4 linked regions of the Saccharomyces cerevisiae S288C genome follow. Changing the gene in region 4 together with the main gene of any one other region gives a genetic interaction. Each region holds a gene or a part of one and is shown on either strand. Other genes may lie near its edges.

What was found.
Region 1: mutations in YGR237C (region 4) and UNG1 together harm fitness less than expected from each alone (positive genetic interaction), as found in Saccharomyces cerevisiae (one large-scale study listed by BioGRID).
Region 2: mutations in YGR237C (region 4) and WRS1 together harm fitness more than expected from each alone (negative genetic interaction), as found in Saccharomyces cerevisiae (one large-scale study listed by BioGRID).
Region 3: mutations in YGR237C (region 4) and SYM1 together harm fitness less than expected from each alone (positive genetic interaction), as found in Saccharomyces cerevisiae (one large-scale study listed by BioGRID).

The regions. Positions count from the first base shown.
Region 1 is NC_001145.3:228,893-233,295, reverse strand, and holds UNG1 (uracil-DNA glycosylase), read left to right. Parts: upstream 1-2,482; coding exon 2,483-3,562; downstream 3,563-4,403. Other genes in the region: YML020W (uncharacterized protein), read right to left, coding at 153-2,147; adenine phosphoribosyltransferase APT1, read right to left, coding at 3,796-4,359. UniProt on the Saccharomyces cerevisiae protein: Excises uracil residues from the DNA which can arise as a result of misincorporation of dUMP residues by DNA polymerase or due to deamination of cytosine. Not involved in strand-directed mismatch repair.
Region 2 is NC_001147.6:131,268-139,344, forward strand, and holds WRS1 (tryptophan--tRNA ligase WRS1), read right to left. Parts: upstream 6,559-8,077; coding exon 5,260-6,558; downstream 1-5,259. Other genes in the region: serine/threonine protein kinase PKH2, read left to right, coding at 1-1,215; SDD3 (Sdd3p), read right to left, coding at 1,458-4,571; YOL097W-A (uncharacterized protein), read left to right, coding at 4,953-5,138; COQ3 (hexaprenyldihydroxybenzoate methyltransferase), read right to left, coding at 6,840-7,778; HMI1 (ATP-dependent 3'-5' DNA helicase), read right to left, coding at 7,960-8,077.
Region 3 is NC_001144.5:637,690-645,341, reverse strand, and holds SYM1 (ethanol metabolism protein), read right to left. Parts: upstream 3,879-7,652; coding exon 3,285-3,878; downstream 1-3,284. Other genes in the region: NDL1 (Ndl1p), read left to right, coding at 369-938; CQD2 (Cqd2p), read right to left, coding at 1,006-2,715; nucleobindin SSP120, read right to left, coding at 4,321-5,025; YEF3 (translation elongation factor EF-3), read right to left, coding at 5,428-7,652. UniProt on the Saccharomyces cerevisiae protein: May be involved in cellular response to stress. Required to maintain mitochondrial DNA (mtDNA) integrity and stability. Required for ethanol metabolism and tolerance during heat shock.
Region 4 is NC_001139.9:962,570-971,941, forward strand, and holds YGR237C (uncharacterized protein), read right to left. Parts: upstream 3,087-9,372; coding exon 729-3,086; downstream 1-728. Other genes in the region: SPG1 (Spg1p), read right to left, coding at 1-248; KEL2 (Kel2p), read right to left, coding at 3,470-6,118; PEX21 (Pex21p), read right to left, coding at 6,618-7,484; PFK1 (6-phosphofructokinase subunit alpha), read right to left, coding at 8,202-9,372.

The sequences.
Region 1 (4,403 bases), on a different chromosome or scaffold from region 4:
AGTAAATAAATAAATAAATACTGCTTGTGATAGTCTAAATAATGTCAGATATAGTTAATATTTGTACGTATGAATGCCTTTTTGAATTGCGGTACCTTAAGTTATGTTTCGTTTGCGGAAGCAAGCTGGTATCATGCTGGATGTATTTTTTATCAGAGTCGATATTTCAAACCATTAAGCCTGTTTTTTATGTCCTTCAATTGCTTTGTCTCAGGCTCCCATTCCTCAAATTCCTTAAACAACATCTTGATTTCTTCATTACTGAAATGCTTGTTGGACTCGTACATCAATCCCCTCATACACCATGGCAGACGATAGGGGTTGGCTCCTAACTCAGACAATTTATATGGTGAGTACTCAATTGGATACATTTCGGACAAATCGGTTGTTTCTAATGCAAATTTGATGCCCAGATGGTAGACCTGTTTCTCATTATAAATGGTAGAGTGACCACCTCCTGTCAGGGTGCCCGCCAGAGATCCGCTTATTTCCTTTATGATTCCGTGATCGTTATAACCCAGGTTTAAGAGTGAACCAGCAATTTTAACTATGCGAGTGATAAATGCTGGAGTTTGTGATCCTCTATCAATAAAAATGGCCCGAAATATATTGGGATGGTTGGCAAAAAGACATGTGGATGAATACAGAGGGACCAGTTGATCATTGATGGATCCCACAAATGTAATCTTAACGTTATTTGATATGATTGTTCTTAGGCCTTCTATGAAGCTTTGCGATTGTTTGGAATCAAACTTTTGAAACTCGAATAACTCCCTCAATGAGTCTTTTTCAATCGTCTGGTAAGCACGAACAAACAAAGTTTGATCTGCACCGTAGAATGGACCATTATTGATACCTGCCATGGCCAAGACCGAGATAATTTTTTTGGACGAACAAAACTGAATTTCATCGTTGAAAAATTGAGAATTATCAAGGTTTATTATGCCGTTTTTGATCAGCTTCGCTAAAAGCATAATGGTTACCGGACACCCCTGCGAATGGCTAACAAAATAAATAAAATCAGAATTGTTTATTTCTTTGCTCCAATGCTTCATAACTTCGTAGAAGAAATCTACTCTATCAAATATCTCTCCTTCTCTTTCAAGAGCGATCTTGCTTATTTCAATGGGTACTTTATGTTGATCAAAATATTCCTTCACTATTTCCTCAGCTTCTGTGACAAACTTGGTAGATGTACCCGTTGGCTCACCAATAAACGGTCTAATAATTTTTGTTGGAAAGAACCCATGAACGCCGACAATGAGAACTCTGATGGGCCTAGATTGGTAATCTGATAGAAGGTTTATTTTTTTCCATGGATCAACCCTAAATAGAGATCCTCTGTTGTGTTCCAACCGCTCCTCATCTTTTGCCTCGTTTGCAACTGTGTTTGTTTCCTCTTTTAACTGATTTTGTGAGTGCTGCACCTGTTCTTCCCCCTCTCGTACCCTTGATGAAGGTCTTCTATCCCAGTATTCAGTCTTCCACTTCCAAATTGTGGATGTGACTGTATTCCATATGGTTTGTTTCGGTAAAATATCGAAACTTGGTACAACAATGTTAGGAAACTGATTGCCTATGTCATCTGTTAATTTCTTAGCAGTTTTGACACCTTTATCTCTGATCAATATAGCATCAGGTTTATAAGGTATGTAAGTGTTGGTTAGAGGAGCCGGATTTAGACTATTTGCTAAACGTGATAAAGTGTTATTATCCGCATCAGTGGGAATGTTATGCGTCGGCTCCGGATCTTTTTTGTTACGGCCCCAAAAGAATGGCCATGCTCGTGGTCTTGTGTTTTTTTCTACTATAGCTGCATTTCTGTCTTTTTTGTCCTTCTCACCCTTCTCGATCCTGGTGGTTTCCTTTAAAATCGTTGTTTGTTGATTATCGTGCAAGCGTGTTCCCTCATTTGAAACATTGTCATTTTCTTGACTGTTGTCTTGGGCGGTTTCCTTTCCTTTATTTTTATTAGATAACTCCGGTTCTTCCTCGTCATTACCTCCCCATATAGACCAGGATTTGGTTGTTCTGTGCTTAGGCTCACTAGGCCCCATACGACCAGACTGAGTATGTACTGAGCGCAGTGAGGTCGTTGAAGATTTCAGACTGCTTTTCGGCGAGGAATGCAATGGAGTCGTGACCATTCTACCTACTGGTACTCTGTATATAAGTCTCTTCCAATTCTTCGTAATGGTGTCTATTTGTAGTGCAAAAGTGCTATCCAAGAGCAGTGATAAGCCCACTATATGTATAAAGCCGAATCTAGTGACTGGTGGGAATAAAAAAGATAGTTTTCGAACTATTCTTATATGAACTTTCCATGGAATTACCTCACGTTGTTCACATTAGTGACTTGTAAAAAGCTTTACATATAAACTCAATATTTTCCCTATTGTCAAAACCTGGAATGTGTCCGCAACGCGTAATTCATCCATAATGATATATATTATCAGAAGCTGTACACAAGCCGTTCACATACATGTGGTGCATGAGAAGATTGCCAACAAATTCAGTTATGACGGTGGCTCGAAAGAGAAAGCAAACTACGATCGAAGACTTCTTTGGTACAAAGAAAAGCACTAATGAGGCGCCCAATAAGAAAGGTAAATCGGGCGCTACTTTCATGACCATAACAAATGGCGCAGCTATCAAGACAGAGACAAAGGCGGTCGCAAAGGAGGCAAACACGGACAAATATCCTGCTAATTCAAATGCAAAAGATGTATATTCGAAGAACTTGAGCAGCAATTTACGTACACTACTGTCGCTGGAGCTAGAAACGATTGATGATTCGTGGTTTCCACATTTAATGGATGAATTTAAAAAGCCATATTTTGTAAAGTTGAAACAGTTTGTCACTAAAGAGCAAGCTGATCATACAGTATTTCCGCCTGCAAAGGATATTTACTCATGGACCAGGCTAACGCCTTTTAATAAAGTTAAAGTCGTGATTATCGGTCAAGATCCCTACCACAACTTTAATCAGGCGCATGGCTTGGCTTTTAGCGTCAAACCCCCTACACCAGCACCACCGTCATTAAAGAACATATATAAGGAACTGAAGCAAGAGTATCCTGATTTTGTTGAAGATAATAAAGTGGGAGATTTAACTCACTGGGCTTCACAAGGGGTTTTATTGCTTAATACCTCGTTAACTGTAAGAGCACATAATGCAAACTCGCATTCTAAGCATGGTTGGGAAACTTTTACAAAAAGGGTAGTTCAGTTGTTGATCCAGGACAGAGAGGCCGACGGTAAGAGTTTAGTATTCCTCTTATGGGGGAACAATGCTATCAAATTAGTAGAGTCTCTGTTGGGATCTACTTCCGTTGGAAGCGGTAGTAAGTACCCTAATATCATGGTGATGAAGTCAGTGCATCCGTCTCCATTAAGTGCAAGTAGAGGATTTTTTGGTACCAACCATTTCAAAATGATAAACGATTGGCTATACAATACCCGCGGAGAGAAAATGATAGACTGGAGTGTTGTTCCTGGAACGTCATTAAGAGAAGTTCAGGAGGCAAATGCTCGCTTAGAGTCAGAATCAAAGGACCCTTGAATATTACTATTGCATATGCAGGTCTCGATTTCCAAACTCTTTAAAAGCATATAATAGATAAAAAACTAAATAGACTACTTTGTGGCACAAAGCAGAAAAGTGGATTGAATATTTTTCAATCTAAAAAGTAAATATTATACAACCAAATTGAGAGAGTAAGGAGAAGTAAGAAAAATAAATTGCTTGAAACCGGCAGAAAGGAAGCTTGAATATGGGTCAGGACGTGAAACATATCATTTTTTCAACGCTTCCTTTTGAGCGTTCAGTAAAGTGAACACTGGAGCATTCAACTTACTCCTGCCTTTCAAGAAATCCAACTCCATAACAAAGTTATATTCCAAAAGGTTGGCTTCGAGTTGTTCAACTAATTCGCCGGCTGCAGCAGCAGAACCACCAGTGGCAATAATGTCATCAACAATGATAACGTTGGAACCTGCTGGAATAGCGTTTTTCTGTATCTCAAAAAGATCAGAACCGTACTCCTTTTCGTACGTAGCCTTAAAACATTCGCCAGGTAGCTTACCTGCCTTCCTGACTGGAACGAAACCAACACCTAGGGCCAAAGCTAAAGTTGGTCCGAACAAGAACCCACGGGATTCCAACCCGACGATATAATCAATTTTAACTTCTGGAAAAGCTTCTTCTAAATGCAGTTTGAAAGCATCGATCAACTTCTGGAAAAGACCTGGGTTCCTGAAAATGGGTAAGAAATCTTCGAAGAGAATGCCTTCACTAGGGAAGTTTGGATATTGATGTAAAGCCAACTTCAACTCTTGGGCATAACTTGCTATAGACATGATTAGTAGGAATATTTGCGATAGATTTCTTTGAAGCAGGCAAA
Region 2 (8,077 bases), on a different chromosome or scaffold from region 4:
CAAAATGTTAAAAATAGCACAGATTCTCCCTTGATGAACAAGCAAGATATTCAATGGTCCTTTTACCTGAAAAACATCAACGAACATGTACTAAGGACGGAAAAACTGGATTTTGTTACCACAAATTACGATATCTTAGAGAAGAAAATGCTTAAACTAAATGGTTCATTGTTAGATCCTCAACTGTTTGGTAAGCCTAGACATACTTTTTTATCCCAAGTAGCTAGGAGTGGGGGAGAGGTTACAGGTTTTCGAAATGATCCAACTATGACTGCTTATTCCAAAACAGAAGATACGTACTATTCGAAAAATATTATCGATTTGCAGCTCTTGGAAGATGATTATCGAATTGAAGGAGGTGACTTATCGGAGTTGCTTACTAACAGAAGCGGAGAAGGGTACAAATGCAATCAAAACAGCTCACCAATGAAAGACGATGATAAATCCGAATCTAACAATAAAGGAAGCTCTGTTTTTTCTGGCAAGATTAAAAAATTATTTCACCCTACCTCAGCAGCTGAAACGCTCTCTTCCTCTGATGAAAAAACCAAGTACTATAAACGAACCATTGTAATGACATCATTTGGAAGGTTTCTAGTATTTGCCAAGAGGAGGCAGCCAAATCCAGTTACAAATTTAAAGTATGAACTAGAATATGACATAAATTTGCGTCAACAGGGTACCAAAATAAAAGAACTAATCATTCCCTTGGAAATGGGAACTAATCATATAGTTGTGATTCAGACACCTTACAAGTCATTTCTTTTGAGCACTGATAAAAAAACCACGAGCAAATTGTTTACTGTTCTCAAAAAAATTCTTAATTCGAATACAAATAAAATAGAGAAAGAACTGTTGCAAAGAAACCAAAAGGTAATTGAAAGAAGAACATCATCATCCGGAAGAGCCATACCTAAAGATCTTCCAACTTCCAAGTCTCCTTCGCCAAAACCCAGGACGCATAGCCAATCTCCATCAATTTCAAAGCACAATTCGTTTTCTGAATCGATTAATAGCGCTAAGAGCAACAGATCAAGCAGAATTTTTGAAACCTTTATCAATGCCAAGGAACAAAATTCAAAAAAACACGCTGCTCCAGTACCGTTAACCAGTAAATTAGTTAACGGATTGCCAAAAAGACAAGTTACCGTGGGATTAGGTCTAAACACAGGAACAAATTTCAAAAACTCATCTGCAAAATCGAAGAGGTCGTAATTAGTAATTTTATCTAATGTTTTCATCAAGCTACTTAAATACTCTAAAAATAAATATATGAGGAATTTCAAGTACTCATATAAATATAATAATAATTCTCGATCAATCAAATGAAAGAGCGCCGTAAGGCAGAATCCCAGAATTCGAAAAGAATGAGACAATGCTCCTTTTGCTATTTATTGAATGCAGATAATACGCACTGTTTCTGTGTTGAAAGTGAAGCTGAAATGGAGGTCATGTACTCACGCATTTTCGTCTTCTTCACTATCAATTTCGTCATCGTCATCTTCTAGCTCTTCTATTTCGACAGTGAAACCTTGAGTTTCAAAGAATTCTTGAACTGATTCCAATTTAGCTGGATGACAGCTCACAAAGGCAACGCTTTTATTGGAATCAAACATGTTGACAAAATATTTCTGCATGGCATTTTTCAGATCTGTTTTGGTAACATTCTGCAACCTTTCCAAATACAATTCATTGAAGTTGTTCCCCCTTTGCAAACAGAATTCATCAACATATTTGGACAGGGCTGTTTCAAAGTATCCGCATTCGATAGTAGCCAGCCTGTTAATAATACTACTGATGGCACCTTGGATTAACTGCTCATCAAATTCCAAGGCACCTGATGCATAATCTTGAACAATCTGTTTTCCAACTTCATAACATTTAATAATATCAGCGCCGCGGTAAATATTGAATCCCCAAGAATTTATCTCACATAATTTTAACATGCTGGCACCATAGGCCAATCCGGCACCACGGATTCCCTTCCAAAATGGACCTTCAACACATTCTAGATATTCGGAAGCCAATGAGACAATAGCGTATTCGGGATCATGGTAGTCCAAGTTAAATGGGATAGACGTTATTAGATTCATATAAGCAGATTCTGAGGCGGGAGTAGTTATTATAAAGGCCTTTTCACCAGGTGTTCTGCAAATCGATGAAATGGTATCTAGGGCTCTTGGAACTGGTGGAATTTTTAACTTCTCAACTGGATGTGCAATGTTCAAGCACTTAATTAAGGGATTCCATGGTTCATAAACGTCATCGATCTTTGAGATGTCACCAAGAACCAAAATATGAAACTTGTTGAAATTTGCTCTCAGTTGCTTTCTCATTGTTTCTATTCTTGGCAAAATTTCTTTCTCAAAGTTGCCATTCTCAATTTCTGCAAAAATCTCTTGTAATTTTGCTTCAACAAATAATGGATCGGTGGATTTTTTCAGCGATCTTGCCGAATAGAGATTTCTGTTAGTTAAAGAACTTAACATAACATTACCATTTCTTTTCCATTCTACAATAGAATTCAAATAATTCTCCAGCAGAATACGAACACGATTTTCATCAAAAACCATGTCAAATAGGCAGTGCTTGATCCATTGAACAGAGTTAGAGTAACCCCCAGCTCTACATTGAATTTTAAAATTAATAAGGTCAGGACAAGAACCCTTCAAACCTTGGTTGATCTGTGCGTCAATAGTTTCTGATTTTAACTTGGCGACAACTTCCTCAAACGAGAGCATAGTTTCTACATTACTCTCCTCATCAAGGATTTTCATTGGCATGGAAAATAGCTCGTCAAACATATTAAAATATGGTAAAAGCGAGGTATCCTTAATAGATGCGGAGTTGACCAAAAAATGCAGCTCTATAAATTGAGACGGGAAATGATTTAAGTGAATGAAAAGAGGAAAATTGTCTGGCCTCGTTTCTAAAATTTTTTTGGTCAGCGGATCACTAACATTATTGTATTTATACGAATCGACAGTTGCAATGCTTTTCGTGTTGACAAATTCAACACTCTTTGAAGGATTATCAATCTCAAATTTCTGTAGTAGAGATTTCGGAATTGGCCTATCATTAATATTTTTTGCATTGTTCAATCTTTTCAATAAAACCAGTTTCTTTTCATCATCAAATTCAGCTTCTCTTTGTTTGATCAAATCCGATTTTTCTTTCTCTAGTTGTTCATACATCAAAGCGCTTGGTTTAGCGGTAACTATGATAGGTTTGTTGTCTACGAATATTCTGTTCAGCAAAGATTGCCAGTCCTTTTGGGACCATTGTAATAAAGCATCAAAATCACTTAAATCCTTGAGAGAAGACACTAATGAAGAACCATCTTCATTACCATAAATATAGTCGGTAATCACAGCACTAGAAAAACGACTCTCGCCATTTTTTTCATAGTTCAGCAAATATTCCCATTTAGTATTTTCAACTACCTGTCTAACTCTTGATAAATCAATGGTATGGGTTTTCAAAATCTCCAGTACCTTGGTCTTTGTTGCTGCTATTTTTTCTGTTGGGACACCTTGGATACGAAGATCAATTATGGTTCTCATGAAATAATCAGTGCAACAATCAGTGGAATTTGCCATGGGATCGTCAATTTCAACCAGTTCTCTTGTAAACACTGCCAATGCAGAGTCAGTAAAGTAATCTAATAGCACATCAACCGCTAGGTCATTACGAAAATCTGAGTAGGGAACACCAATCCAAGAAAAGAGTAATTCACCCTGACTTTCATCAAGTTCAGGAAATTCTACAGTAGATTCCGTAACTTTATCTCTAGATTGCGGTATGTGCGAAAGCTTGTTGTCCAAAAATGGTCTTTTCTTTGGTATATTCGATGGAATCTCCGGCAATTTGTTATCCCATTCTTCCATGACGGTTAACAGTTCATCTGTTGGTACGTTACCACAAACAATGACACAAAGATTATCAGAAGAATACAGAGATTTGTGAAATTGTCTGATTTCGTCGTTGGTTAAGGTTCTTAAATTTTTCGTTAGCCCACCAGTTTCTGACCGATAGCCACTTCCTTCAGGAAACATTAATCGCTGCTTTTCTAACCCTGAAATGTACCAGCCCTGAGTTTCAATGGCTTCCATTTCACTAAATACCACACCTTTATCACCCAAATTTTCCGGGTCGATGTGATAAACCTCAGTTAAACAAGCCTCGTCTGTTAAAGTTGGATGTAGGATGTGATCTAGATAAGCAGGTAGCAACTTTGAGAATCCCTTCCAGCCAGCACTGCTTAATGTATAAACAGTTTGGTCGGTATCAGTCCAAGCATTGGTGTTAGACAAAGACAGATTACCAGCTGTGTCTAATAAACCTTTGTATGGGTAAGATTTAGAACCCATGAAGATCAAATGCTCCAAGGTATGCGGAGCACCTGAATCATTAAGACATTCTGTAGGAACAGCAAAGTAACCGTGAACCAATGGGGAGGTTTTGTGGTTTATATGTACCAGTTGCAGTTTAGTTCGTTCCGAGATATATTTAGTTATATGGTATTGTGGGACATAATCCGGTTGGAATGATACGAGCTTCTTGAACCCCATTGTGAAGATTCGACGAACTGTGTTGAAAGTGCGTATAATTGGTCTTCGTGCCGTTTTTTGGGTCACTTTCAACTTTTCAGCGAGTAGTTTCTCTCACTATATCTTACGCTCTGTTAAAATCTTTTGCCACTACTTCAAAATTACGATCTATGGGATGAAAAATTTACATGAATTTACCAATACTCGGAAAAATGCAGGACAAGAAATAAGAACATTTGTATAATACAAGAGACGCATATACACATACCTACTCAGATAAGTTTAACGAGTTTCTCTTCCATAGGAGGGTCTAATCTCCTTCAGAAGTCTAACGTCTAAAAGTTCGTAAAGAATATCATCATAAAGTATGGTATACAAAATTTACTGTGCAACAACAGCACAATGCAGTCCATGATCTGCTCATCTGAGCACGAAAACCTAACCTGCAAGTACTGGCCTGTTAGCTTCCTCGCTTCTTGGTGTGAGAATGGGTCTGGCACACTGATGCAGAAAGATGGTAGTCTTTTATATGCCGTGAAAAATTTTTCCCATATATTTGAAAAAAAAATTTTTCATACCAATCTATAGAAATAGTGAGGTCAGGAGACATCGCAACACTATTGTTCTATTGCATTATTTTTTTAGTGTTAAACTACAATTTCGGATTCTATATCATTGTATATAATAGCGTCAGAATAAGCGTGACTACTTACTTCTTTTCTTGCTTAGTTTTTGGCTTAGGTGCGACAAGTCTTTCCTTTTCGCCCCAAACCAACTTATGTGGGACCATGAATTTGTCCAAGGTCTCTTCGTCCACCTGAGCTCTGCGTTCCTGGAACGCCTTAACGAATTCTTGCAGAGTCTCGATACACAGTTTCTTCATTTCACCTGATAGTAATTCACCGGACTTATATTTGTCATAGCATTCCTTCAAGAAAACATCGTCATCCTTGAAAAATGACAAGTATTGGTATGCAACATCGACATCGGGATTACCACCTAATTCTCTATGTAGGTCGGCGGACACTTGACCACCGCTGAATGCGTACTTGTTAATTTTCTTTTGAATTTGCTTTGGTGTATCGGTCATGAAAATGGCAGTGGTATCATCAGAGGCTGACATTTTGGTCGTGGAACCTTGCAAAGCTGGAAAGAATCTGGAATGAAGCAAAGCAGGTTTGGAGTACTTCAATTTATCCGCGACATCCCTACAAACTCTGAAATATGGATCTTGGTCAATTGCACATGGAATCAAACATGGTGTCTTATCAGGCAAGCCTAACACATTAGGAAATGAGCTTGGGAATGCGGTAGCAATTTGAATGGAGGCAAAATGGAACTTACCAATACAGTCGGAGTCATTAAACCCGAAAACAGCCTTTGCAGTGGATCCTGTAATTTGTCTGGAAACTCTTACTACAGTTTCGTAAAATGCACCACCCATGTATTGCAAATCAGAAAAGATAAAGGTGTTCTTTGGATCAAAGCCAACAGCAATGATATCCTTGGCATTTTCACGGGCAAAATTCTTAACGTCATTGATGGTCAACTTGTGTTTGAATAAAAATTTTTCGTCATCTGTCAACTCTATGACTAATGGTACGTCAAACACTTCCTGTAACCATTTGGTGAAGACAAAAGGGATCATATGACCCAAGTGCATAGAATCGCTCGAAGGACCTCTACCAGTGTATAGGAAAAATGGTTTGCCTTGTTCGTAAAGGTCTAATATTTTAGTGAAGTCACGCTCACTGAAAAACAATCCCTTACGCAAAAAATGATGTGGTTCACGACCCGTCACTTGCTTGAATCTCTTCAGGGTTTCTTCGTTGACCGGCTTAGTACCGAATTGTTTGATCAATTTGTCGTAATCAATATTTTGGGCTCTACCTTGTTCATCAACCCCACCTTCCACATCCCAAGGTGTAACTACTTGCTCTTTAACATCTGTGCTTTTTAGTTCCGACACTTGTTGGGTGACTTTCTCTACAGTTTCGTCGTTGCTCATCGTTGTTCTACGACTATTTTTTGTTATTGAGTTTTATTTCTGATACCTCAATGACTAAAAAAAATTTTTCAACGTTTTGATCTTTTTTCTCTCTTTTCCATTATAAGCGGAAAAGAGATACTGTATTGAATAAATTACTGGCGTCTTGAAAAGGATACATCATTTAATAAACGCAGGACCATGCCATTGCTTTTTGAACTCATGCTGTACGTGAAAAAGTGTATATATATATATTTATATAAGAAGATATTTACAGTCAGATACCTACTTTTCGTTTGATTTCAATTCAGTCTCTGAATAGCCATAAAATAATTACCGACATCGGAACAATCGTGCTCAACCCACCCTTGATATGGGAGGTACATGGTCCCCTTGAGATCCAACAAGCGAAATTGGCCACTGTAGTTGTCATTGAACCAGGCAAGGATTTCCTTTGAGTTTATGTATTTGCTCAAATGATGAGTACCCTTTGGGACGATCTTCAAGACGTTTTCACCCATAAAAATTGTAGTAAACCATGAGATGAGATCTCTGTTTATAGTACTTAAAAAGAGTATACCTTTTTCGGGATTTAACCTCGACCAACAATGCCTTAAAATTTCACTAGGCATATCCACGTGCTCTAGCATTTCCATACAGGTGATAATATCAAATTGTCCAGTAACATCCTCCAGAGCCTTGCACTCATAATTTATCTTTCCCTCCAGCATGGGGTCTTTCTTGGCATGCTCTTTTGCTACCATGATACAATCGCGAGTCAGATCGATCCCTTGAACATTCTTCACCCATTTTAGTCTCGCGAGCGATTCACTCAAAATGCCACCACCGCATCCAACATCCAAGACGCTCACTTCTGGCCTCTTATCTAGATTAGTCTCTATGCTTTCCTGCATTTCCCGCTGAATATTGTCGCAGACGTATTCTGGTAGAAACTCCTTGTAATTAAATCCAGGGACAAATATTTCAGGATTCTGAATTTTAACCTGGTTCCTCACAGTCCTCTGCACAAAATCTAACCTAGTTAGATTCATTTTGTGTAGAATTCTTTGTGATCCGTCTGTATCCCACCAAGTAGGGGCTAGCTCCTGGAAATGCTTCACTTCATCTTCAGAAGCATCTGTGCTCTTACATCTCGTTTGTGTTTGAATTGCAAATCTTGAACAGGCGCTCAATTGTTTCCTCACATGAATAACCTTCAAAAATCTAGATCTTAACAACATTATGAATCCCATAAGACTTCGCTGTACCTGTTTCCCTTTAATTGTTTTGTATGCCTTTTAGCATACTTTACCATCCCTCTTTTTGAACAATGGAAATGAAAAAAATAAAAATATCTGCTTCTAAAACTTGTATTATGTAAAAGGGTGATAATACATTATGAAAGGTAAGTAAAAAACTATTCTATATACGTCTGAAAACGCTCTTACAACCTCTTAGTGAAGAATATGCTCTATAAAATCCAAAATTTTTACGTAACTGATTGTATCGCTGCACATTATAACCATGTGTCACCTTAACG
Region 3 (7,652 bases), on a different chromosome or scaffold from region 4:
TATCATGAACTATTCCGCATATTCGTAACCTTATTTGTAGCGCAGTAAAGCCGCTAAAGAGGTCTTCTCCTATCGGATCTTGCTTTTTTCTTCCTTTTTTTTTTTTTTTTACAATAGAACAATAAAAAAACTGAACGTTCTCTATATCATCTGTGACGGCAAGTATCAATTATTTTATCAATTAGTTTGCAGAATCGGGAAAATTAATAACATTAGAAATGAAAGTTTTCATACATAAATTTGCAATTAAGGATGAAAAAGAGGGATAATAAGGGCTACAACAAACCACGAACGGCCGAAAGAACAATCCTCGCAAATTTAATTGGAATATCCAAGGGACATATACGTGCAACAATTGCGACTTTCCTATGGTGCCGAATTTGGATTTGGAAACAGCTATACAGATAATCTCCTCACTGGAGACCCAGTTGAGCGAGCTTGAAGGCGCCACGAAAGAATATGAAAATGATTTGGAACAAGTAATATCAAAGTTAAAAAGCGATCTTCTTGAGAGCCAACAACAAAATAAGTGCAATAAGAAACAGATAACAGATTTAGAGATACAGGTAGATGAGTTGGAAAATGAAAATATCCAACTGAGGAATAAGATAGAGACATTACAATTGGAGAGTGACCGACGACTGGAACGCAACGTTCTACTGGAACACGAGTTACTCGACACCAAAGAGGCGCTGCAAAAGTTAAGAGTCAGCAAAGAAGAAGCCACTAGCGGTGAGACTAGAAGGAACACCAGGTCGTTACCCAGTCAAAATAAAAAAATGAAGTTGTTTAAGGATACTATCAAAGTCTCGACCACATCTTCAACCTTGTACTTGCAGAACATGGCAAAAACTAACAACGCTGCAAGAAGTCACTGTAATATTCCAAATACCCAAATAACACAATCCACTGTGATAGCAACAACGTCTTCCGTTTAATGACACATATAAAATTGTTATATATAATTTTACGTATATATTTACAAGTAGAAAGAACGCTAACGATTTAAGATGACAACCAAGTCTTCGGAATAAATTTTTTCCACCACAACACAAAATCATAAAAATACAATTGATTAATACGCCTCTCATAGACTATCCAGTTTGTCAAGTTCTCCCACATCCATTTAATAGACCACCTCGCATACTCCGAATTAATTCTTTCCACTTTTTCGTCGTAGACCGTCTTGGCGCAGTATTGCGTCATGATCAGGAAAGTCCTCTCTGGCCCGAGTGGATTCTGTAGACATTCATCAAGATGTCTGGTTAGGTCGTTAGTCTTCAATATCAAAAGCACTACACGAGGGATTCTAGACAAAATGCTCATCAAGTCGCTCAGTAACGTTCCTTCCAAGATCCCATTTGCCATGACGTCCATTTCTTCTTGTGTTCGACTCGTTGAAATGTCGTAATTCAAAGCAGCATCAATGCTACGGCCCGTAATTGCAGCCGCTAAAAGGGGAAACTGTTCGTCGGTGATGTTTGCGAATCCTTTGGCATACTTCTTCATTTTTGTCTGGTCCTTGTCGAATAGGAGCGACAACCAAAATTTGGCATAAAGTCTTCTTGTTCTCGTGCTAGGATATCTATAGAGTCCGTGGTCAAATAAAACAATTTCAAAGTTATGGTATCCATTATCTTTAGCGGGCTTAACAGATCGTATGGCCAGATTTCCTCCATGAGGATCACAATGAATACCTACATTGGGAGTAAAAATCATGTTATTGAAAATATGAGAGAGACAACTCGAAACTTCACTGCGCGAGATACCGTGACTGTCAATGTACTCCAAATCATCCAACCTTTTGCCTCCAACATATTCCATAATCAAAATTCTTTTGTGGCTTTCAATGACCTTGGGTATTTTCAATGCTGTTTGCTTCTTGAACTTACTAAAATAATGACGGGTTTTTTCTGCATTTTCAGCTTCTTTGGTAAAATTCAGTTCCACGTAGATTGAAGACTGAAGCTCATCACCAAGCCACGTTAACGGATAATCAGGGAAGAAGACATCCAGCAGTTCAAACACTGTTCTTGTCAGCATAACATCTAATGGTATAAACTCCTTCAACGATGGATGCTGACATTTGACAGCTACACTAGAACCTTTACCGTCACTATTTTTTAGTTTTGCCACATGAACCTGTGCCAAGGAAGCTACACCTATCGGGGTTTTGTTGAATTCTAAAAACATATCCTCAATGCTGGTGCCTAGATCTTCTTTAAATAACTCATCAATTTCTTCGTAGGTGGATTCGGGACAGTGGTCTTGCAACGGTATCATTGTATCCGTCCATTCTTTAGGCAACAGGTAGGTCATGGCCCCAATGTGCTGGCCTAATTTGATATATATCCCACCATTCGATCGTAGCGCATGCAACGTGATTAAGGCACACATCTTATGACATTTATTTAAGGCAACTTCTCGTTCTTTTTTGTTCTCATAGCTTTTATTTAGAGCCCTCTTGTAATGGTAGAAGCAACGAGTGGTAGCTTGTGTGACGACAGCGATTCTTTTAGTCGTCAGTGCCGTGTGCTTTACAGAATCATGAAAAGTGTCATTAAAGTTGTACAAAACTACTGCTGATGCAATAGTCCCACCCACCAGAAGAGATTTTCTTGTCCTGGGGCTTCTTTGAGGGATGCTTTTACCTGTCCTAACGTACCGACGGAATACCTCAAACGGTAGTTTGTTAAAAAAAGCTTTGGTCATCATCTACTATCAACACCGAATAAGAAACATTCAACTATAATCTTGCTCCGTTTCAGGCTCAATAAACTTTCAGACTGATTCTTTCCAGTTACGAAGGTAGGAGTACAATATGCATACATAACGCAGCGATTTACAAGATATGTTCCTCGGGTCTATGTTTTGACCTCTTTTAACGGCATATGAAAAAACCTTTGAAAAAATGAAATATTATATAAAGGTCCAGAACCCACAGTGGTACTAAAAGGCCCACTTAAGTCTCACACCTAATTAAACACCTTTGCATAAACGGTAGCTGAAGAACAACAGGCATGACCGCAATAGTGAAATGTTAGCTACTATTTCCTCTATAAAAGAAGTACGAATGTAATTAAATAAATTGTTCCTGACCAAGCACATCTGTAAAGGAAAAGCAGATTGCTAGCCAACTTTGGTGACTCAAATATTTATGAAGTTGGTCTGCTCTCTGCCGAAAGTCTATTAGGTATATGCTGTTCCAGTACCCCAAGGAACAAGGTCTGATAAATATGCTAGTTGAATTCCAAATATTTTCAAAATCAGGATTTCTTATCCAGTTATTCGACCACGGGTGGATAATGAACAGGTACCTTGTCTTTCTCCATAACCTTTGAGTTTTTATAAGATAAGTAAGTGTTCCAAAATATTGCAACGACATTAACAGCTAGTAACCTATGTTGTAAAGGAACAACAGAAAAGTTAATCGCTTGGAAAAGTGGCCAAACTGCCCAATTAGTCAAAAGTGTAGGCCACCATTGCTCTTTTATTTTCAACTTAGCTACGTCAAATGATCTACCTTCCATGATGGACATACAGGTGAAATAAAATGGCAAACCTAGCGGCGCAAACGCCAATTGATCGACAGCTACCCGTAAAACCATATTAGACCAGTGGTACTGAGGTCTGTTACGCATATAAATCTTGTTGTTCAAGATCTTGTACCACTTGTCACCTATAAAGGAGAAAATTAAAGAACCATAGATGACAGCCCTAGCTGTCCTTTTATAATCATAACCCTTGTTTACTTTGGATGTTGGAAACAACAATTGAGCAGAAACATCACCAATTCCAAATAGCGCACCTGTCATTATCGCATTCGTAGTTTTGGGCCTTCTCTTCAAGCTCGCTTCATATAAATGCAATAACTTCATACTGTTTTAATATCAATTCTATCTTTCCTATAGTAATAACAAAAGACTGTGTTTGCCTTTTCCCTTTTGTAAGGCTAAATATGACAACATAGCATTCAAATAGCTCTTCTATCATATCACTATCATAGATATTTCCATTTTTTTTTTTTTTTCACTTTGTACTTATACTGTTAAAGTTCGACATTTAAGGGACAAGGAGGTGCCACTGTTTCCCGAAACGCTTCTTGTTACCATCGGAGAGAAAAGACCAATACATACGTAATTAGAACATAGAAAATAGAACGTTTAAAGTAGATAGTTAATCACAAAGGAGAGGCATCACAACGATGCGATGGTAAAAATATATTTTAAGTGCTTTGATTACTTACTACATGCTAATTGACTACATACATAGTGTCTTGAATATTTTCTCAGTCTCAACTATTCATCTTGACCAAGTCCATTAAAAAATTCCATTTTTGAATTTCTCGGGAATATTTTTCAGCTCTATTCTAGACTCTAGTTCGTCATCAGTTATTACAGTAGCTCTAGAAGCGCCTCTTTGAATTTCTTCTTCATGTTCAATTTCATGTTCATGATGAAGCAATTCATGTTCTATGTCTTCTTTGTGAACGACTTTAACGTCTGGATCTTTGTCCTTATGAAACTTATTCCAGTGATGAATTTCATATTCTAGCTCAAAATCGGAGTGGTGACCTACACCAACGCCAAGGTCAGGGAACTTGTTTCCTCTCTTAGCAAATTGTAGATATTCCTCCTTGGTGATTTTGGTATTATCATCAACATCCAATAACCTCATAATAAGGCTAACAACACGCTTAGCCATTTCATTGTCAATTTTCTCAGATTCATCGTGTTGTCCCATACCATCACCAGCCCCCACAATTTCTTCACGGTTCAACCCGTAGAGAGATAGAATATCGTTTTCATCTAAAAATCCTTTCTTCTTGATATCATGTAACGCGAAGAAAGTCTCTGGAGTGTAATCTTTTAGCTGATGCTCATGGTCCATATGCCACTCCTCCCAGGATAAACCATCAGGTGGTGCCTCATTTTCCACATTAATTTCAGATCCTATTTCTGCCGTGGCAGTTACTTTATATAGAGTGAAAGCCAAAGAAAATACAAATCCCCTCAAAAACCTCATTTCCACAATTTTAATAGAACAGGGATGAAAAAATTTTAGGTCTTGGCTCTTTTATCTTTTCTAGAAGGAATATAATATTACGCTCAATCATGTTTTAAAGCTTCCTAGTCTATGATCCGTCACCTATTTTTATTCTTCCAAAAAAATATTTTCGTTACCCTCTTACCGAAAAGGGTATGAGGCAATGCTCAATTTGCCTGAGCTTAAGAATGTATGAAAAAAAAAGATGTCTGACTAATGGAACGCTTTTTCTTTTAAATAATGCCTTTCTTTATAATAAGGAAGTTGCGTCTATATTTTACCAAAATAAACAATATTACAAAAACATAGAAATTAAAATATACATAAATTATTGATCAATAAAAATCTTAAAGAAAACTGTGAAAGCAGTGATCAAAAAGATTAGAATTCTTCGTCAGAAGAAACGTAAGCATCACCCAATTCCTTCTTCTTCTTCATTCTTTCCTTCTTCTTCTTTCTCAATTCCGCAGAAGACAACTTCTTCTTCTTCTTACCACCGGCAATCTTGTTACCCATAGCATCGAATTTATCTTCTTCGTCTTCCTTCTTTTCGATTCTTGGACCAGCACCTTGACCACTAACCCAGTTGTGACCAGATGGAGTCATTCTACCGTCCTTGACGGCCCAGACTTCTTCAGTCAAGTTCTTTGTGAATTCAGCAGAGTGAGTAATGATAATAACACCACCTTCAAATTCCTTCAAAGCCTTAGACAAAGCACCCAAAGAATCTCTGTCCAGATAGTTGGTAGGTTCATCTAAGACAATCAAGTGAGGTCTTTGCCATGTACCGGCAGCTAAGACCAACTTAACCTTTTGACCACCAGACAAACCTCTAATTCTGGAGTGAGAAACAATTTCTGGGTCCAAACCCAACATGGAACAATGTTCTTCAATTTCTTTTCTGGTTAATGGACGGAATTGACCAGAAGCCAAAGCTTCCTTCATATCAACTTCAGCAACCATCTTAGAGTGAGATTCAACCAATTCACCTCTTGGAATCCAAGCGTTGTCGACGGACATCATTGGAACCCATCTTTCAGATTTCATACCAATGTTTTCACCCAATAAGAAAGAACATTCATATTCGTAAGTGTTCTTGAACTTTCTTCTGGAGTGGATACCGGCAATTCTTCTAGGGGTACCTTCAATCTTGAAGATCTTGTTCATAGCTTCAGCATCGTTTTCGTTGATTTGTCTGTTAGCTCTGTCCATGGTTTCTCTATCTTCACCGGTTTGGAATCTCCATTGGATATATTCAGATGGAGTCTTGTCCAAATGAGATTCGATATGAGCAAAAGCGTGTTGCTTAATGTAAGCGATACGACAATTTTCGTGGGTGTAGACTTCACCAGAGGTTGGTAATAGTTCACCAGTCAAGACGTTAATCAAAGTAGACTTACCAGCACCATTTGGACCAATGACAGCAATTCTGGAAGACAAAGAACATTGGAAGTTAATGTCAGTGATTTGTGGCTTAGAGGTACCTGGATATTGGAATTCCATGTTGGTAACCTTGACAATAGCCTTTTGCTTAGTCTTAACACCTTCCAAGTAACCTGGTTCTGGGAACTTGAATTCCAAATCAGTGTTGGATAATTCTTCGTAAGCCTTAGCAGCTGGACACTTCTTAACGAATTCGGTAAAGTTACCCTTGTACTTTCTCAACTTCAAACCTTCGTAGTTAATAATATATTCACAGACGTTATCTAAGAAAACGGAGTCGTGAGAAATAGTGATAGAAGTGATACCACAGGTGTTCAAGTAGTTAACTAACCAAGCAACGTTGACGGTATCCAAATGGTTAGTTGGTTCATCTAACAACAAGATATCAGCATTTCTCAACACAGCTCTAGCTAGAGCCAACTTCATCTTCCAACCACCAGACAAAGCAGAGATTGGCATAGCAATCATTTCATCGGTGAAACCGAATTCAATCAATTTGTCCTTGATAGCTTCTTTAGTACCAACACCAGATTCGAAAACGAAATCCAAGACGGAAGTGTCAGAGTGAGTACCATCAATGTCGTGTTCGACGTAGACGGTTCTACATTCTTCTTGGGTTGGGAAACCATCAACTTGACCGTTGGCAATAGCTCTCATTAAAGTGGACTTACCACAACCGTTTGGACCACAGATACCATATCTTCTGGCTCTCTTCAATCTTAATTGGGTCTTGTTCAACAAGATTTTAGCACCATAAGCCAAAGAGAATTCACAGTTACATAAGTCTTCACCTTCGTCTTCTTCGTCGTCGAAGTTTGGACCAACTGGAATGTTGTCGACAGCTCTCTTTCTGAATTCGTCCAAGATGTCCTTGGCCTTCTTTTCGTGCAAGAAGATAGTCATGTATGGGGTGATGTGGGTGAACCAAGCTTGTTGGTCAATGATTCTTTCATCGATCAAATCAGCACCAATGGCGGCAATGTACTCGACGACAATCTTAAATCTTGGAGCAACGGTTTCGTCCTTCAACAATTCGTTAACGACTTGCAAAGTAGTAGAAACGTCACCAGCGTGAGAAACTTCTGGAATAGCATCGTCTTCACCAACGTTACCAACTCTTCTCAAAGTCTTCAAAGCTCTCAAAGTAACTTCTCTGGCTTCTG
Region 4 (9,372 bases):
TCATCCATCATCTCTTGTAAACTCTTACCCTTCGTCATAGCTGCTCTCTGTTCTGTACCCATAACAGACGCCTTAGTTGTGTCTACGCCGTTGATGTTGTCTAAGCTATGTGCAGGAACCGTATAGCCTCTCCTCATGTATGCGGTCGGTACCACAGCAGCGCCCACCAGCCCTAACATAATATATCTAAACTTTGGAGTTCTCACAACTCTTTGTGCCTCTGAGTATATTCCTGAATCTAACTTCATTTCAGTAAACTTTGTTTGAATTTTATGCGCTAAATATTTGTATTGATTGTATTTATTGATTCTGATCCTTCAGTAACACACATTCCAAACTATCCTGGATAATGTGAAAGAGATTTGGCAGTTCAATTTATATGAAGAAGACCCTCACGTCGCGAAGCATTTTTAACAGTGTTATCCCAGTATCCCGTAATTCTTCTCTTCATCCAATGCTGGCCATTACTCCATTTATTGGGGTGATGTAGGCTTCTTATCCCTTTTAAAGGGTACCTTATTGATCTCCCTTTTCGGTGCGGCTGATGAAATCTATAGAGCAAACCGAAGTAAAACAAAATTACGAAAAGAAATATAACATTATATCTTTATCAAAATGTATGTATGGAGGAGTAACAGCTGAAAACCCCCGTTGTGAGTGGTTTATGATTGTTTTCACGCTTATTTTGTCTTCTATATCTTTGCTGATTTTACTTGTATTAATCCGGTTCATCCGAAAACTTTTTTGAAGATCGAGCCAAATTTACTTTTTTTCTTCTTTTCAGACCTTTTAAATTGATGGTCGTTTGTTGAGGATGAGGAACTGTCCTTTTTGCTGTTGCCTGATTTGGTGCTTTCGGTAGTTTTCGTCCTTGAAACGTGGTTGTGGTGATGGTGGTGGTGATGCGCTTTTCTCTGTCCTGAAGAAGATGAAGTGGAGGATGTTCTGGGTGATAGCCCTGCGGATTTTGTTTTTCTCATTGGATGTGAAGTGAACTTCATTTTCGGATCCTCATTGTCCCATTTTAGTGCTGTCTTGATATGAGGCGTAGAGGCAGTTTCGTGGTTGTAAATGTCATCAACCATGGACTTTACTTTATAAATGCCGTTATTGTTGAATTGTATTCTTGAACTCCGCTTTGAGCTGCGCCTCGAATTTCTCGATTCTATAGGAGTTAGCTTTCGGCCAGAACTGTCGTACTTCATAAGAGTGTTATCATCCAATAGTACTTGTCTCGACGGTTTTGGTCTAACATATCCCATCTTATCGAAGAATTCCATTTCTTCCTTTTTTTCAGGTGAGATTGGGAAGTACTCATTTACAGAGGTTACTGACTCATCACTATCGCTTTCTTCATCATCCGAATCAACCACTTTATGTTTTGTGAAAGGGTTTTCCAAAGTTCTCCTGATTAATGCACTTAGCCATTGCAATCGTTCCTTTTTTCTCACTTCCGTTTTCAAATCATCGCTGTTGTCCTGTTCATCTTTATCCACTCTAGGTTTTATTAAAAGCTCAGGCTTGATGAATTCGAATGGGACAACAAATGCTGGCATTGCAAAGTGTTTCATTAAAAAAAATGGTAGTTTCACTTTTCCATTTCTAAACTTGATTTGAATGTTGGCACTAACGGTGCTGATTACTTGCAAACTTGGCCTATACAGAGAGGTCGCAGATATTATGGCTGATCTTGTTGAATTTTCTTTTACCATCTCAATACTAATCCTAACTATTTTAGTTGCCAATCTTCTCGCGTAGTAATTTAAAATATCGCTACAAGTTTGCTTAGCCTCATTATGAATAGCTTCTATTCTTATTCCCGTTGATAAAGGACTAGAGAGATCCGGGCCTATAAGGCTATGTGACGCGGTAGTCATGCTTTCACTAGTATTGCTAGTCATCCTTTCTAAGCGGTGCCTTCTTTTCTCCTTATATGCTAGAGTATCAATCTTTGCTTCAAACTCAGGAATTGTAGTAATTATGACTAAATGATCACCATTTCTTGTCAAATTTTCAACATACCAGTCCACAGATGACCAAGTATATCTCCTACCTGATATATAACACGAAACAACTCTTAAATCTACATCGTCATCTTTGTCTTTGCAATTGAGCTTTTCTTTTGTATTGGAAATATAATTTTCATAGTCTGGATGATCAATTGTCATTGAAATTGCATTGTGAACAATTGTAGGCCTTGATGGATAAATTGCTGCTAAAGGGTCCGTCACGTTGCTTGAATCCGTTTTTGACTCTGTTGTGTTCAAATAGACTGGAACTTGCTCACCAAAATCAAATTGATCTATTTTAGTCTTGTTCGATCTTCCTTTACTTATATAAAATTCCTCTAATTTGGCTAATTCTTCGTCTGTCATCCCGGCAAACGACTTGGACCTTTTCTTTGAGCTCTCCATATTTTCGCTTTCGGATAAATCTACCATTGACTTGGTCTCAATTCTATCTTCAACTTCATTAAGATTGGCAAATGCAGCTTGCGTATAGCCTTTCCTTGATCCAGAATTTTTTTGAGTGTTTCTTTCGGTCATTTTGGTCATTTTTCTTTCCAGCTCAAAATCCAAATCACCAATATCAATATCATCAATAGGGCCCTGTTCATCAGCAGCTTTTCGAGATTTTTTTAGCACGGATACTTTTGGAGGGGGAGGCAACCTCACTGAAGTCCTTCTTCTTGACCTGAACATTGGAGACTCACTTCTACTTCTTTCAACGCTGGGCGATCTCAAATAGCTTTTGGAGGGATCATGTGCTGCAGGAGAAAATACCTGAGTATAGAAGTGAGGAACTCCAGATGTTGTAGACGTTGGAGTTCCTAGTTGTAGTGGCGAAGAAGCTTCTTCGTCTTCGGGTGAGTCCAAGCTTTCGTCAGTGGCAAGGTCATTAGAGCCATGGCTACCGGTCAAAGTATTTTTGTAAACAGGATTAAATTGTGGAGGTATATGTAAAAAATGATTATTCAAGCCAACATGGTGACTGTCATTTTTAATAATGGTAGCTTGGTCATCAATTAAGGAAGGTGCCAGATCATCAAACGAGATATGCTTAGTAAATGTCTTTGCAGATGACATCTTCTATTATTTTTATTAGATATTAGCAGTTTGCCAGGGATTACAGCTTCTCCCTTATGTACAGTGCGACAATATTCTTTTTTTCAATGTGTCTTTTTATTCATTCTTCTGAACAGTTTCGCTTCGTTAAGGGTCCTTCTGGCTTTCTAGAGGCATGCTCACCTAAAATCCCCCTAGAAAAGCGGGCTCTTTACCCGGCGAATAATAATAACCGCGGCTACTAATTTTGCACCATTGAATATTAACCTCAAAAGGCTTAGTTGGCAATTATATTCTCCTTCTATTAATACTTAATGTTTACAATGTCCTTATAGGTGTTTAAATATATTTTTATATACTTTGTACATATTGACTTCCCAGTGCGTAACAACGTCTTCCAATGACTATTTTTTTTGTTCGAGAGTATATAGTTTTTTTTTTAAAGCTAGCAGTTCGTCCTTGAGGGAATCTCTATTTTCTTTCGACATATACAGTTCCGCTTTCAGATTGTTGATTTTCATTCTGTGGAACGCATCAAAATTTCCATGAGTGATGGCGCCACGCTGTTCCTGCTTGTCATCCTGTTCAGCTTGTTCAGTTTTAATTCTATCAATCTCCTTCTGTAAATCGTCGTTGTTTTTACGATATTTTTCGAGCTCGGATTGTGATAGGTGAATAGCCTTCTTTGTTAGGTCCATAGACTTCGAGCTTCCATCAGAGAGTTTTCTTAGCGCATCCAACTTGTTGTTATTGTCGAGTAAATTAGCCCGCAAAGAATCTCTTTCATCATTAAGCTTCTGAGTTTCAAGGTGCAATTTCTCTTTAGCACGCACGGTTTCGTGCATTTCATTTATTACTTTTTCTATTTTGTTCAGCGAATCTTTCTCATATATTTGATTATCTTTCTCACTTGAAGGTGGCCGTGCACTGGTAGGATAGCTTTTTAATAATTTACCCAGATAGCAGGACGATTCGTTCAAATAGGTATGAAGTTCGGGGGTTATTTTTTGCATATTATTTACAAGTATTTCGTTCTGGCGCTTCAAAACATCACATTTATTCTCAAGATCGATGATATCCCTTTTAATAGTGACATGTTCGGAGCATGTTTTAAGTCCATTATTTTGAATCGTAATTTGGTCACAGAGTTTACTTGCCTGAGATAATTTGACCATCAATAAATTTTTTAAATCATTAATTCTAGATTCTAAAAAGGTTTTCTGAATTTCTAGATTTTTAAGCCGTGCTGTTTGAAAATTTGAATCTTTTGAAGCTTCTTTTATTACCATGAGTCTCTGGACTTCCTTTTCTAATTGTGAAATATGTCTAGCAGTTTCAAGTTCCTTTTGTTGAGCTTCGAGACGTAATGTTTGTAGGTTCAGGTTTAAATCATCAAAAAGATTTTTGGGAATTCCTTTTTGACATGATGTGTCCTTATATGAAGAAGAGCCATACTCTTCTGAATCCACTGTTAGTCCTCGTAGAACAGGGAAATTTTTTTTAGATACTTTGATACCAGTTCCCGGACTTTCCTTATTGATGCTTGAATCAACTTTGGAAGATTGGGGTTTCTTTTCCTCCCTATCTGATTTTCGTTCAAATGCCTTATCATCCAAAGCGCTGGAGTAACTTCCAGCCCCTTCATCAATATCATTATAACTCAAAACTTTGCTATCAGGCAATCTTGGTGTAAGAATGTTTATTATCTCTTGATTTTCACTTTCGGTAGACTTAGAGGGTGTAAAGCCCCCGGAAAGACTATTAGAAAAACTTTCTCCTGCATGTAGTGATTCACACATTATTCCTGGGCATAGCTCATTCAAAGATGATAAATCTAAGGTATACAGTAAAGTTCCTTCGCCTTGGTCAGTTTCTGAAGTTTGTAGATCGTGAATATTTGGGCTGGCATAGTCAGTTTTGTCGCCACCCATGATAAGAAGCTTCTCATTCTTCATTAAGGTTAAAGAATGTCCAGAGCGTTCTTGAGGTATGCCCTCCTTCATACGGGGAAGCTTATACCATTTTAGCGATAATAAGTTTAAAAAATAGACATCGTTGGAATATGCGTTATGGGTATCCTTACCGCCTAACACACACATTAAATGTTTATACACCACACTAGCATGCTCTTGTATTGGCGGAGGCTTTTCTCCTGTGGTTTTAACTTTAGACCACTCACTTTGTGCTGGATCGTAGCGGTATGTATCATTGCTTATTGTCTTGGGAGTTTCCCCGCCGAATACCCATAATTTGTTGTCATATGCCACCATTGTATGATTTGTTAAAGGAGGAGGCAGGTCGCCGACAGGCTCTAAAAATTCCCAATGAGAATTCGGCCTACGGAATGATGATAAATCAAAGACGACCAGATCGTTAAAATAAGTTTCATCTACTTGTCCGCCAAAAAGATATAGTTTAGTTTGCATAGGGTTGCTAGCAATTATAGAAATTTTATGGCCGTACCTGCCCAACGGCCTACGGCCGATAGGTTGTGGTATGGTCCACTTATAAGAATTAATATTGAAAAGATAAAGATCATCATCCAACAGTCCGTTCTTATTCAGCTTGTGTGTGTCGCCACCAAACACAACATAGGCATTACCGCATATAGTAGAGGCATGTCCCACTCTTGGGGGAGGTGTATTTTGATCAATATCGATTCTCTTGGAAGTAAAGCTCGTACCATCCGCGTTAGCGGCTATTTGCCAGACATCCCCATATACCGATTGATCGTGAAGTCCACCGGTCACAAAAATCCTGTTATCATTCGTAACAATAAATGAGGAAGAGTGTCGATAACGGGGAAACGGAGAGTTTTTTAGTTTGACCCTATTCCAAATATACTTCCCTGTATTCTTACTCTCTGGAGACCAGGGAAGAGCAGTCGACGCGCCTGATATGCCTCTATGCTGGTTTGGAGGTAGCGTAGGTGTTACTATTCGCGTATTGTTTCGATTATCCATAAAAACTATTGGTCTGGGTACACTTTGCGCTGAAATCAGAGAAGGTCCCGTGTCCGTAGGTACCTTATTTGTCAGCTTGAAAGGTACCATAGCTACTTAAGGGGTTGCCTGCCTCATCCAAATCATTTTTTTTTTTTGTTACAACCTATGCTAAAATTCACGTGTACGCATTTCAAAATTGAAAAAAAAAAGAGCAAGCAACACCAAAACCAAACTTCATAATAAATTAGTATCCCAAAAGACCCTTTCACAAGGTAATTACTTCCTTCGAGACTAATTCGGGTTTTGCGAAGCTTTTTTTTTTTTCTTCACAGTTTCTCCCAAGAGAAGAAAAAATTCACAAGCGTGTCATTTCGTGCAGCTTACATCAGCACAATCCATGCACAAAAAAGGTGTAGTAAGTTTTAAACGAGAGAGATGGGCATGACAGTAGGTAGGGCATGCATCTGCAGGAGTGAAGCTGCGATACTCCTCAGCGCAGAGAACACATAAGGGCACATATTCATGATTTTGATATTCTTAGCTATCTGTAAACATATATCAACGTATGTAGTAGTTACAAGAGGTACAATTGTAGAAACTGCCTATATCAATCAAGTATGTCTTTGTGAATTTCGTCCTTGACGAAAATGTGCCTGTTTCCGACCAGTTCCCCGTTGTTGGATGAGAATAACTCGCTTGCGGAATTTCCATCTGCATTTTTCTTTAAAGTCACGTCACCGCTACTAATGTTTCTCATTAACTGAATAAACTTCGACTCAGATAGTTTTGATTCGACAGAGGAGGAAAGAGTAGAAGAGGAGGATGCAGACGAAGGCGGTGGAGTACAGCATTTTACTATATCTGTGGCAATCCTTTGCAGTTCCGACTGATCTTGGTCGAACCATTTCTCGTCCCGACGTGTTATGGGCTCGTACCGCTCTTTTTGAATTTCTCTCTCCAAAACTTGGAACTCCGCGTCGAATTGAAACGCATCCGTTGGGTTGTCCCGGTTTCCTTGGCGTTGCTGTCGAAGCGTCTTTTGAGGTGGGTAAGTGCAACTTGTCTTCCTTATCATACAATTCTTAAAAGGTAAGTGTTGTCTGCTTGAATTCAGGCGCTGCTGTGACTCGTAATTGGAATACAACCTTTTATATTCTGAGCTAAACTCTAGTGAATCGTCAATCTTCATAGACGAGAACTGCGGAACCCAATCACTGGAATCTACAGTGTTGTTTGGAGTAATGAAGGTTAATGGAGAGGGTTGATTTTGATACCTTACATTGTCAATGCCGTCAAAATTACTACCATTATGCAAAAAGTGTTTTTCCACATGCGAGTCTTCAGTGGCATAGTGTGCTGTTAATTCCGTATGGGCCAGCTTGGTGCGTTTTGACGGTATTAAGGAATCATTCTGTATGCGATGCCCTTGTTGGATAATCTTTTCTATCGGGCTTGTATGGCAGACACTGGGCATGGTATTCTAGTTTGGTCTTTATAATTTTTCACCTGTTTCTTTTTGAAACAAAACCAAAGTATGCGGCGTCAACCTTGACTATATTCTCTTAAATATATATCTGCCGTTCTATCAGAGGTTTGAACATTGCCAATGCCTTAAAGAAATATTTAGTCATCCCATCTCCGATTATCGGCACTAGTTTCCATTTTTCCAGCGGAAAGATAAAAAGAAACGGAAAGAAAAAAGGCCGACAAATAAACCAAACGGTATTCGTAGACCGATGACAATACGACTACAATTAAGGTAGCGCGCCTCACTATGATGTGGATCAGCCTCACATTCAGAGCAATTTGTAGTACAGCAAAGTTGCCGATGTCGTCTTCGTGAACCATTGTCAACGCAGATTAAGCACACCCTAAAACTTGAATAATGCAAATTCCATAGCTTAGTTTAATCAAGGCGCCATTATTCCTCAGTTGAAAAGTATATCTAATGGTTAGGATTAGAAATATGTTCATTGCTCATTGTTATGTGTATCATATCGTACAAAAATTATATAAAGAAATAATAATGAAAAAGAGTAAAACAAAGACAAATAGACAAAAATAGAGGATAGAAAAAGAAAAACAACAGATACATAAATAAGTCTTATGACAAAAAAACGATTGTATAAAAATTAAAGTGCATGCCATTTTTACCTCCTTTTGCTTAACTTAAACTTTTCATTGCAATCATTCATTTGTTTTCAGCGGCTAAAGCGGCTACCTCAGCTCTCAACTTTAATCTACCGGACAGGATGTCACCAATCTTGTTGTATTCAGCCCAGTGAACTTCAAAACCCTTTCTTAATTCAACGTTGGTTTCGTTTTCCCAAAGGTTAGCAATTGGCTTGAAGGAAACGTGAGAACCATTAACACAGATAACAGCAGCAGAGTCATCTTCGTGCTCAACAGTTGGTACCTTTTCACCGTGAGTATCGAACTTGAATCTCAAAACCTTAGCGTCAGTGTTTGGAGAAGCTTCATTTTTCTTGTTCCATTGTTCGATAAACTTGATACATTTGACAGCAAATCTGGAAGCGGTGACACGGTCTTTAGAAGATGGAACACCACCTTGTTGAACATGGCCTGGGATAGCAGTTCTAACACCAAACTTACCCTTGCTTGCTTCAGAGATGATGTCAGCCAACAATTGAGTGCTATATACGCTAGAAGCTTGTTCGTTTCTAACCAATAGCTTACCGTTTCTGTTTTCACCTTTGTCGTGACGAAAGTTCTCTTTTAATAGAGTTATATCTTCTCTGATAGAAGCTAAGTCGATCTTCTTTTCTGGAGTGTACACTGAAACAGCACCAGTGATTAAACCAGTGAAAGAAGCGATGTAACCAGAGTGACCACCTTGGACTTCACAGACGAAGACTCTTCTTCTTGTCGCAGAAGCACTCTGTTTGATGTCATCAGTGTAATTGACTAATGCGTTCAAACAGGTATCAACACCAAGTGAGTATTCAGTACCTGGAACGTTGTTAGAAACAGTGGCTGGAATCAAACACATTGGAATGTTAAAGATTGGGTGTTGGGTTCTACCGTCACGCAATTGCTTCAAGGACCTGAAACCTTCAAAACCACCAAGAATAATCAAACCGTCTAGCTTGTTCTTTTGGAAGTAGTAAGCAATGGTACCCAAATCTTCTGAAGCAACAGATCTGTTCGTACCGATTTCGGAACCACCCAAGTTATGCCAGTTTTCGACATCAATCCATGATAGTTCCTTCACTTCACCGGTTTGAATCAATCCACTGAAACCATTCATGATAGCGTATGGTTTATGGCCGTGAGACAAACAGTATAGAGTTGCGGCACGGGTGGCAGCGTTCAAAGCAGCAGATGGGGCACCAACATGGACA